2 linked regions of the Xenopus tropicalis genome follow. The protein of the gene in region 2 interacts with the protein of the main gene of each other region in a biochemical or structural test. Links are inferred from orthologs where the notes say so. Each region holds a gene or a part of one and is shown on either strand. Other genes may lie near its edges.

Evidence for each region.
Region 1: the proteins of ywhaz (region 2) and prkcz form a complex in vitro, tested with the Homo sapiens proteins (2 studies listed by BioGRID, with this or other methods). The link is inferred for Xenopus tropicalis from reciprocal best matches to the Homo sapiens genes YWHAZ and PRKCZ.

The regions. Positions count from the first base shown.
Region 1 is NC_030683.2:91,413,824-91,417,644, forward strand, and holds part of prkcz (protein kinase C zeta type), read right to left. Parts: intron 2,638-3,821; coding exon 2,502-2,637; intron 1,917-2,501; coding exon 1,829-1,916; intron 848-1,828; coding exon 728-847; intron 1-727. UniProt on the Homo sapiens protein: Calcium- and diacylglycerol-independent serine/threonine-protein kinase that functions in phosphatidylinositol 3-kinase (PI3K) pathway and mitogen-activated protein (MAP) kinase cascade, and is involved in NF-kappa-B activation, mitogenic signaling, cell proliferation, cell polarity, inflammatory response and maintenance of long-term potentiation (LTP).
Region 2 is NC_030682.2:130,830,617-130,835,065, forward strand, and holds the start of ywhaz (14-3-3 protein zeta), read right to left. Parts: upstream 2,976-4,449; 5' UTR 2,603-2,975; intron 1-2,602.

The sequences.
Region 1 (3,821 bases), on a different chromosome or scaffold from region 2:
CGGAGTTTAAATTAACAAAATACATTACATATTCTACATCTAGCCCCTGAGAAATAGACAATTGTGATGTAGGTAACAAACATCAGCTAAATCCATGCTTTGCTATCAATTTGAGCTTCTTTAAATGTATTCTCCCTATACTTTCTGCTCATTGCCTTGTCTCTTCTTTGATTACTTTTTTTTTTTTTTTTTTTTTTTTTTTAGATTTGAACATGACAGACAGAGCCAAGACAACATAGCAATAAACAGCTCCTGTGCTACAAGCCATGCTGGTGCTGTCTGGGTCTTGAATGCATCTAGAGAGTGCTACTGAGAGGATCCAGCCCTGTTTGTGAGTGATGATTCCCTTCTGACAGAACACAGATCTGTCCACTGGCATGAAGCTTCCTTCTGGACTAAACTGCAAGTGGGGAAAAGGCAGTCCCCTGTAATATTCATCCTTAGTTTTAAGAATTTACGGTTAGTCCAATAACTAACCCATCCAACATCTTTAACCTATTGCCCAATATACCTATCTGATAAATCACTAACCTAGGTAACAGATTACTAGTCTATACAATGTAAGAACATGGCAGCAAATTCATCACATCCATTTACAATAGAAAGCAATGTATTGCACATAACCAATTAACAGAGCATGCACTGGTTATTCATATTACAGAGTATATAACATATACTATATAACATACATACATACAAAAAAATACTGACAACACAGTTCACAAACCTTGGAAAAGATAATCTTCTGTGTTCATATCTGGATTGTCTGTAATTATGTCAAAAGGAGACCTTCCAGCCATCATCTCAAACATGAGCACCCCCAGAGCCCACCAATCAACACTGAACCCTGCCGAAAAGAACGCAAAATATAATCTTTGATGAGAAATCTTTCAAATCTGTCTGATGAACTCCTGTCTAAATAATTTAAGCTGTTGAAGACGATCACAAGTGGCTCACCACTATGAGATATTTCAGATCAGTGCTTATTAAATGCTTAATTCTCATCTGATTTAAAACAAAATTAGTACATTTAGCTTAAATATATACTAGGTTATTTTGACATAACAGCACATTTAGATTTGTATCAATGAACACTGCTACATTTCTTAAATCACATTAAAAAAGTTAAACACTCCCTGAATATAAAAGCAGAAAACCTAATTATTGACACAAGGGGTGTTGTCTGATGTAGTTTAGATTTTGCTTTAAAGGGATACTATCATTTAAAAATATTATATGTACACATTAATATGATGTCTGAAAGTTCCAAACTACGGGAAGACCATCTCCTATAAACTTCATTTCAATCAAATAATTCACATTTTTAAAATGATTTCCTTTTTCTCTGTAGCAATAAAACAGCACCTTGTACTGTATGGAGATCCTAATTATGGAAAGATCCCTTGTCTGGAAAATCCCCAGGGTCCTGAGTATTCCGGATCTACTGTATACTGGTTTTTAAAAATGTTTCTAGTTGTATAAATCTGTCAGACAGTAACTGCCTACATGGCTACTCCACACCAAACTGGCAACTTATTGGCCTGTGTATGGGGGAAAGCAGGACAGTCTCTCTAACTAATATCTATCCAGAATCAGGCAAATACTAGTTAGGAAGGTTAAAAAATCTGAAGGACCACATTGCACTGTTCAAATTCAAATACTTCTCATAATCTTGTTGCAAAATTCTTTAGATAATGTTTTCTTTCATTAGCTCACAAGGCCATTTATGAGAGTGAACTTAGTGAACTGCCGATTCCCTTTACCTAAATATAAAGAAAGTGAAAGACACCAAGATAAAATATTTGCACCTTGGAATTTTGTTGCTTACCGTATTCTTCTCCCCGGAGGATCTCGGGAGCAATGTAATTTGGAGTGCCACAGAAAGTGCTAGTAGTGTCTCCTGGTCCTAGCCCCTCCTGTAACAGAAAGAAATTATATTCTAATATGCACTGAATATATTTTTCTCCCAAGAAACACAAAACATTCTACAGCAGCCATTTTTATAATCATAAAGAAGAACAAAGAGACAACAAAAGATGAACATTGTGCCCAACAATACAACATTCAAACAATGTAATGTAGTGTCTCGATCTACAAAAACAAGATCCCATTAAGGAAATTCACTGATAGTCATGTAACTATTACTGCACCATTTATGCAAAAAAAATAAAAGTAAAACGATCCCTTAATTTCCTTTCAGGAAAAATAAATTACATTTAGTTTTAATTTAAGTAGAAGGAAAGGGTTAATCATTTAGGGGTGGCAAATGTTAGGCACCCCTCCAATCATTTTAATCACCTTCCTGATACCCTAGGCCAGTGCTCCCACTAGCAAAAAAAAAAAAAAAACTACACCGGCCTGTGATATTTCTGGAGTAGCACCATGGGGTGATCCTCTTCCTGCATCTACTGAGCTTCCTGAGCATATGTGCTGTTCAATGGTGTTCATAGTGATTAAGGCTGCATGCAGTTGGAGAAATGTCTGCCCATGGAGCGCCTTACCTTACACATGCCATAATCTGTTAGCTTGATATGACCATCAGCATCTAGGAGAACATTGTCTAACTTTAGATCTCTGTAGATGATTCCCCTTTCATGCAGGAAATTCAAAGCAATACAGATCTCAGCAGCATAAAACCTTTAAAAGAAAAAATCTGTATTAAAATGCCATACATGTATTTCAAAAATTATTCATGACCAAACACTTGGCTGTGCAATTGCAAGCAACTTTCTTTAACAACTCATTTGGAAAACTGTGATGGCAGCATTAGTTCTACAGCAATTGGTGCTGTTTGTGTTCCCGGGCCCTTAGCTTGCCGGTTTTAGCTTGCCTATATATTCACTGGATTGGCATTCTGAAAGGTTTTGGAATGAGAGGGATTTGTTTGTGAGGCCCAGTAATGGAAAGTTATAGTAATGTATGTAAAGTAGCTGAAATCATATATTTTGTAACTGTTTGAATATAAAGATTTTTATTTTTGGAGGGATTTAATTAATAGAGAAGCACAGTACAGACAGTGAAAGGTCTTTATGAAAAGACTAGAAATGCAAGCCAGATAAAAAATGTGTATATATTTTCCTTTACATTTGTATCTGTTCAACCAGTACCTAAATATAAACTAGTTATGGTTATAAATGTTTATATGAGAGAGGATTTTATTCAATTGTTCTGTAAAAAGTAATGAATTACATTTGAACCATGTTTACCTTTCTGTGTAAGAACTAAAACCATTGTATCCCACAGAGTTTTCTGCTATGTAATCATGGGCCCGATTCACTAAAGTCCGAAATAAGGAGTGCTATTTATAGCATGTGTTAAAAATCTTATCACTTCTTATTTTTCGCTCGATTCACTAAAAGGACACTTGTCATAATTAAGAAGCGATGTTCTTGGCGTTATTTATCTTGCGACGACATATTTTCAAGCAACGTGCTGCCTAATATGTTGTGCGCTGCGTAATATATTGCTTGAAAATTTGTCGTCGCAAGATAAATAACGCCAAGAACATCGCTTCTTAATTATGACAAGTGTCCTTTTAGTGAATCGAGTGAAAAATAAGAAGTGATAAGATTTTTAACACATGCTATAAATAGCACTCCTTATTTCGGACTTTAGTGAATCGGGCCCTATGTGCCTTAGTGCCCTATAGTCCAATATCACCTTAAATGGCCGCCAATATAGCTGCTCAGTAATCTGATTATATAAATCATAAAAGTGTTTCTGAAGCAAACCCAATTTTTTATTTTACCAGCAACAGTACATTATATTTCAAGGCAACAGACTGCAAAATGAAAATGCACAGGGGAAATTTTGACCACCCC
Region 2 (4,449 bases):
CATGCAAGACTGAGCGAGGAACAGGCTGCCCATAGACCACAATATAACAGCAAAGGGGTGATGGCTGAGCAAGCTCTGAACAGCAGTTCATTCGCATTTCTATGAGTTAAAGCCGGGGGGATGCACAGGCTGTGGGGCCCCCCGTATGTTACAAAAGCACCATGTGTTTAACAGATGAAGGGATCCAGGTTACTGGTTAAAAGCTGCTCTATTGCATCACCCATTCTTTTAGACATACTGTAACACTAGGGAGTTTGCAGAATATGTAACATTCTAAAAGTATTAAATAGATGCCTATCTGTACTAGAACAGAAGCACTGTGATCCAAACAGCAAATTAATTATTTCACATACTCAATGAATATATCGAGGAACCTTTTCACATAATGTCTCAGTAAGAGAGACTAGCAATGTTTCACCACAACCAATAAAACTGCTGCCGCCTCTGAGGGCTTTGTGACTAAGGAGCTTGCAGACACTGCCCAAGAGAACACCTCCCTTTCTGATATGTATCATAGTGTAACGAAGGTGGAGGGGTGAGAAAGGAGAGCTATAAAGCTTTTTTGTTGCAGCTGTACTTCCTGCGTGTCTGGGTACAACGTCTAACATGAGAAGATAAGAGACACGTTAAATCTCTGCATCATCCGCAATTCCTATGCAGTGAAATGGCTATTGTGTCGCTGCTTACATTCAAAACCCAGATGCTCCTGATAAACGCACATGGTCCAGGTAACATTTTAACAAGACACGGTCTGCAGTTTGTGCCTTTATTACAGACTATGGGGTGGGTGCCTTAACCCTGCAATGCAACAAGGCCTGCTAAAAGCTATGAGAGGCCTAGAATCCATCACCCTAGATTGATTTAGGTAAACCTGACTTTCATTTCAACAGCATGGCCCGCAGGTAACAACATTAGATTGCAAGCTTCAGGGGTCACTAAACATTTCAAAGCAAAATAACGTGGGCTTCGATGTACACACTTTCAGGGAACATTTAGAGATGCATAAACATGGTGGTTTCTGTGCTGGGTATGAAGCACCCTGTCATTAAATTTAATGGCAACTGCCTGTCAATAACGGTGACAGGCAGCACGGGCTGCCAGGGATTAACAATAGCCTCAGCCCTCCAGCTATTGCAGAAATATAGCCTTTAGCTGACAATAAACGCTAGGAATTTTAGAACAGCGGCAGCTGCAGAAGTGCATGCAAAATATCTGTATTAAGCACTACCAGCAAGCAGCGAGACCAGTAGCCCACGCAGAATCTGTCAGCCGCCAGTAGCAGCCTCGGCTACCTAGTCCAGCTGCCACTGACCCAGCAGCAGATGATGGCAAGAGACCCCTCCCCTCCTCCCCAGAGGCTTATTACTGAGCGGGGGGAGGAGGCAGCCTCACCTGTACTGCAATGCTTGCTTCTCTTGCAGCCTTTTTTTTTCCCTTTCTATCGATGCAACATGGGGGAGGGTACGCGCATCAGCGCTACAGGCGCACACACACACACACAGATGGGATTTGCATTGCATATTACAAAGCAAGAGCCCTGCAGCTCAAGGGCTAAATATGGATCGGTGTCATCTGCTTGTATTAAAGGGGAATTGCAATGACCATTAATTGATTTAAAAAAGAAAAAAAAAAAAAAGGCCCTCCTCCACCATAAAAAATGCCTTGTTGGGCTCAGCAGCACACCATTGTCACTAGTTGAGGGCCCCCATCTCATAGTGGGTTTTGGATGATACTCATTTTATTAGGGCAGTAGGGCAGCTCCCACCAGTCACAAAAGACATAAAGAGCAATGTGCAGAACAGACTCAGGTCATGATTTACTGTGCCTTTAAATGAAAAAGGGGCCACTGCCTACATATCATTTCTCCAGGGCCCAAGTTAGAGATAATGGGGGGTCTTTTAATACAGGAAGCCTGATTAATATAATTAATGATGGCCAAGCTGCAGCACCCCCAGGATCGCTACCATTCGGGTGTAGGGGGGATAGGAGCTGCAGGCTGGCCATCTCATATTGTGAATAAAATCAATACATTCGGGCCAGGGGCCACTGAAGCTGGGGGGGGCCACTGAAGCTGGGGGGGGCCACTGAAGCTGGGGGGGGGGCCACTGAAGCTGGGGGGGGGGCCACTGAAGCTGGGGGGGGGGCACTGAAGCTGGGGGGGGGGGGCACTGAAGCTGGGGGGGGGCACTGAAGCTGGGGGGGGCCACTGAAGCTGGGGGGGGGCCACTGAAGCTGGGGGGCCCACAATCAATACGATACAAAACCCCGATGATAGGAGAAAATGTAAGTGGCAGCCATATATGGGTCTGTAAAGGAGGCTCTAGGGAGAAAGGCGAGAGGAGGAGGAGGAGGAAGCCAGGCACCTCCCCATCACCCTGAACAAAAAAAGGGCTGAAATACAGAACCCGAGCGGGGTGAGAATTAAATAGGATTATTCAGCGCAGATAATGTGCATTGATTCCCCCATGTAGCCCACCCCATCTATGGCATGAACAATGCAGGGAGCCGCTTCCTCTCCGCCATTATCAGGGCCGGCCGGCCCGCCCGAATTTGACCTCACCCCCTCCTCCCTGCAGGTGTAATGCTCCTTCCCGCGCTGTACCTGTGATAGGCTGCAGGGAACACGAACCGTTGCCGGCAAGTAGTCGAATCCCCGGGCTTGGACGAGCGCACGTCTCGCTTTCTCCGTGTGTGACTGACTGCCGATAGCAGAGTCCGGTCTCCTTCCGAGCGCTCAAAGCTCTAACCGATGCACGGGGTTTCCTCCAATCGCTGAGCAGGGGTCGGAGAGTGACGTCAAGCGCTGCTATGGCAACCGCTGACTGGGTGGCATAATAACCGCCCGTTTGGGTCTCTGCGTCTCCTTATTTCCCCACCCCAACTCCTCGCTTAAGCTACGGGTGCGCGCAGAGGCAGGAGGGAGACGGTGGGTGGGGTGCTCGTACTCGGGGCGCTCGTACTTGTGGCGCTTGTCGTGGACGCTCCTCGACGCTGCAGTGTCACTGGCTGGTCGCAGAATGTGTCAGGAGGGTGGGGTTAGGAGAGAGGGCTAATCCATCAGGAGAAGGGGGTGCAGATTTCTTTACTATTGCTACAGGGCAGGTTTCTGGGAAGTGTGGGGAGGCAAACGCGACATTACCTACTGAAAACATGAAAGGGCATGAAATAGGCTTTGGTGCAGTTGTTGCATTGTTGCAATGGCTGTGCATTGATTATGTCAGGCTTAAAGCACCCTGGCCTGCAACGACACTGAGTTCCATACAAAGGCAGGAGGCTGATGGCCAATAATACAGGTCATGGGCCCTAAGGTGACTTCAAGTATCCTTAATACTACAGGAGGTACATTACATTTTATAATACACAAGTTTCAGCAAGTTGTGAAAAAATGACATCACTATGCTCTGTTTATTAGGGTACTTTATATGTTACAGGATACAAATTAGATATGTAATTACATGGAATGCCTCCTTACAAAATAGGTACAGTAGTCTCTGTTTAAATTAATGAGGAAAATCAAAGCAAATAAGATGTGCAAGGGTACATCAGTACCACACTAGCTCCCCAAGGGACCCATACACATTCATTTCAGAAACCTAAAATATACTCTCCTTAGTGTAACTCACAATACCTTGCCCACAGCAGTGCATCACATAGTACAGTTTGCTGCCAAAAGTGCAGAAGAAACACAGTGAACTGAAAACACATGACTAAATAATGGGTTTATTTAATATTTCAATTATTTTTTAGCAGACTTAACGAACGGAGACCCAAACCACAGGTCCCTCGCATTCTGGATAACAGGTCCCATACCTGTACCCCTGTCTACTTAAACCAGATTGACTGATCAAAAATGGGCACACTAAGGAACTAAGGATTTATTTTATATTGATTAGGATCTACCTCACTGGCTGGTTTAATGTGTTTCTTTACATGCAATGAAGTTAGTGGTGGAATAAAAGGTAGAAAGACTATATACGATAATCATTGTGACTGATGTTGAGTATGTGATGTAGGCAGGAGCAACCTGCATTCCTACAGGTTTTGTCAAGCTACAACTCAAATGATTTCAGGTCAACATCTGGAAGACATTTGTGTCTTATATTCTTATATCTCCCTTTTTAATACTGAATAGCTAATGAACAAGTCACAAGGAAAGCCTAATTTACTGGGACTAGACAAGTCCAGTAATAGTTTCAGATTTTATACAGGGAGAGAGGTGAAATGGTAGAATAGTGTTTACTTAGAAGTCTCCTCAGGTTGGTGCAATTTTTCCTAAAAGGAGCCCCAGAGTGGGGAAAAACTTAGCATTTAATTCACTGGGGGATCCTAGACAGGTATTCTATACCTAAAGTCTACAAATCACCTATTAAAGGAGACATATTGGATAAATGGGAAAAAACCCTAATTTTGTGAGCTTATGAATAATATATGGTGCTGGTTTCACTTAGG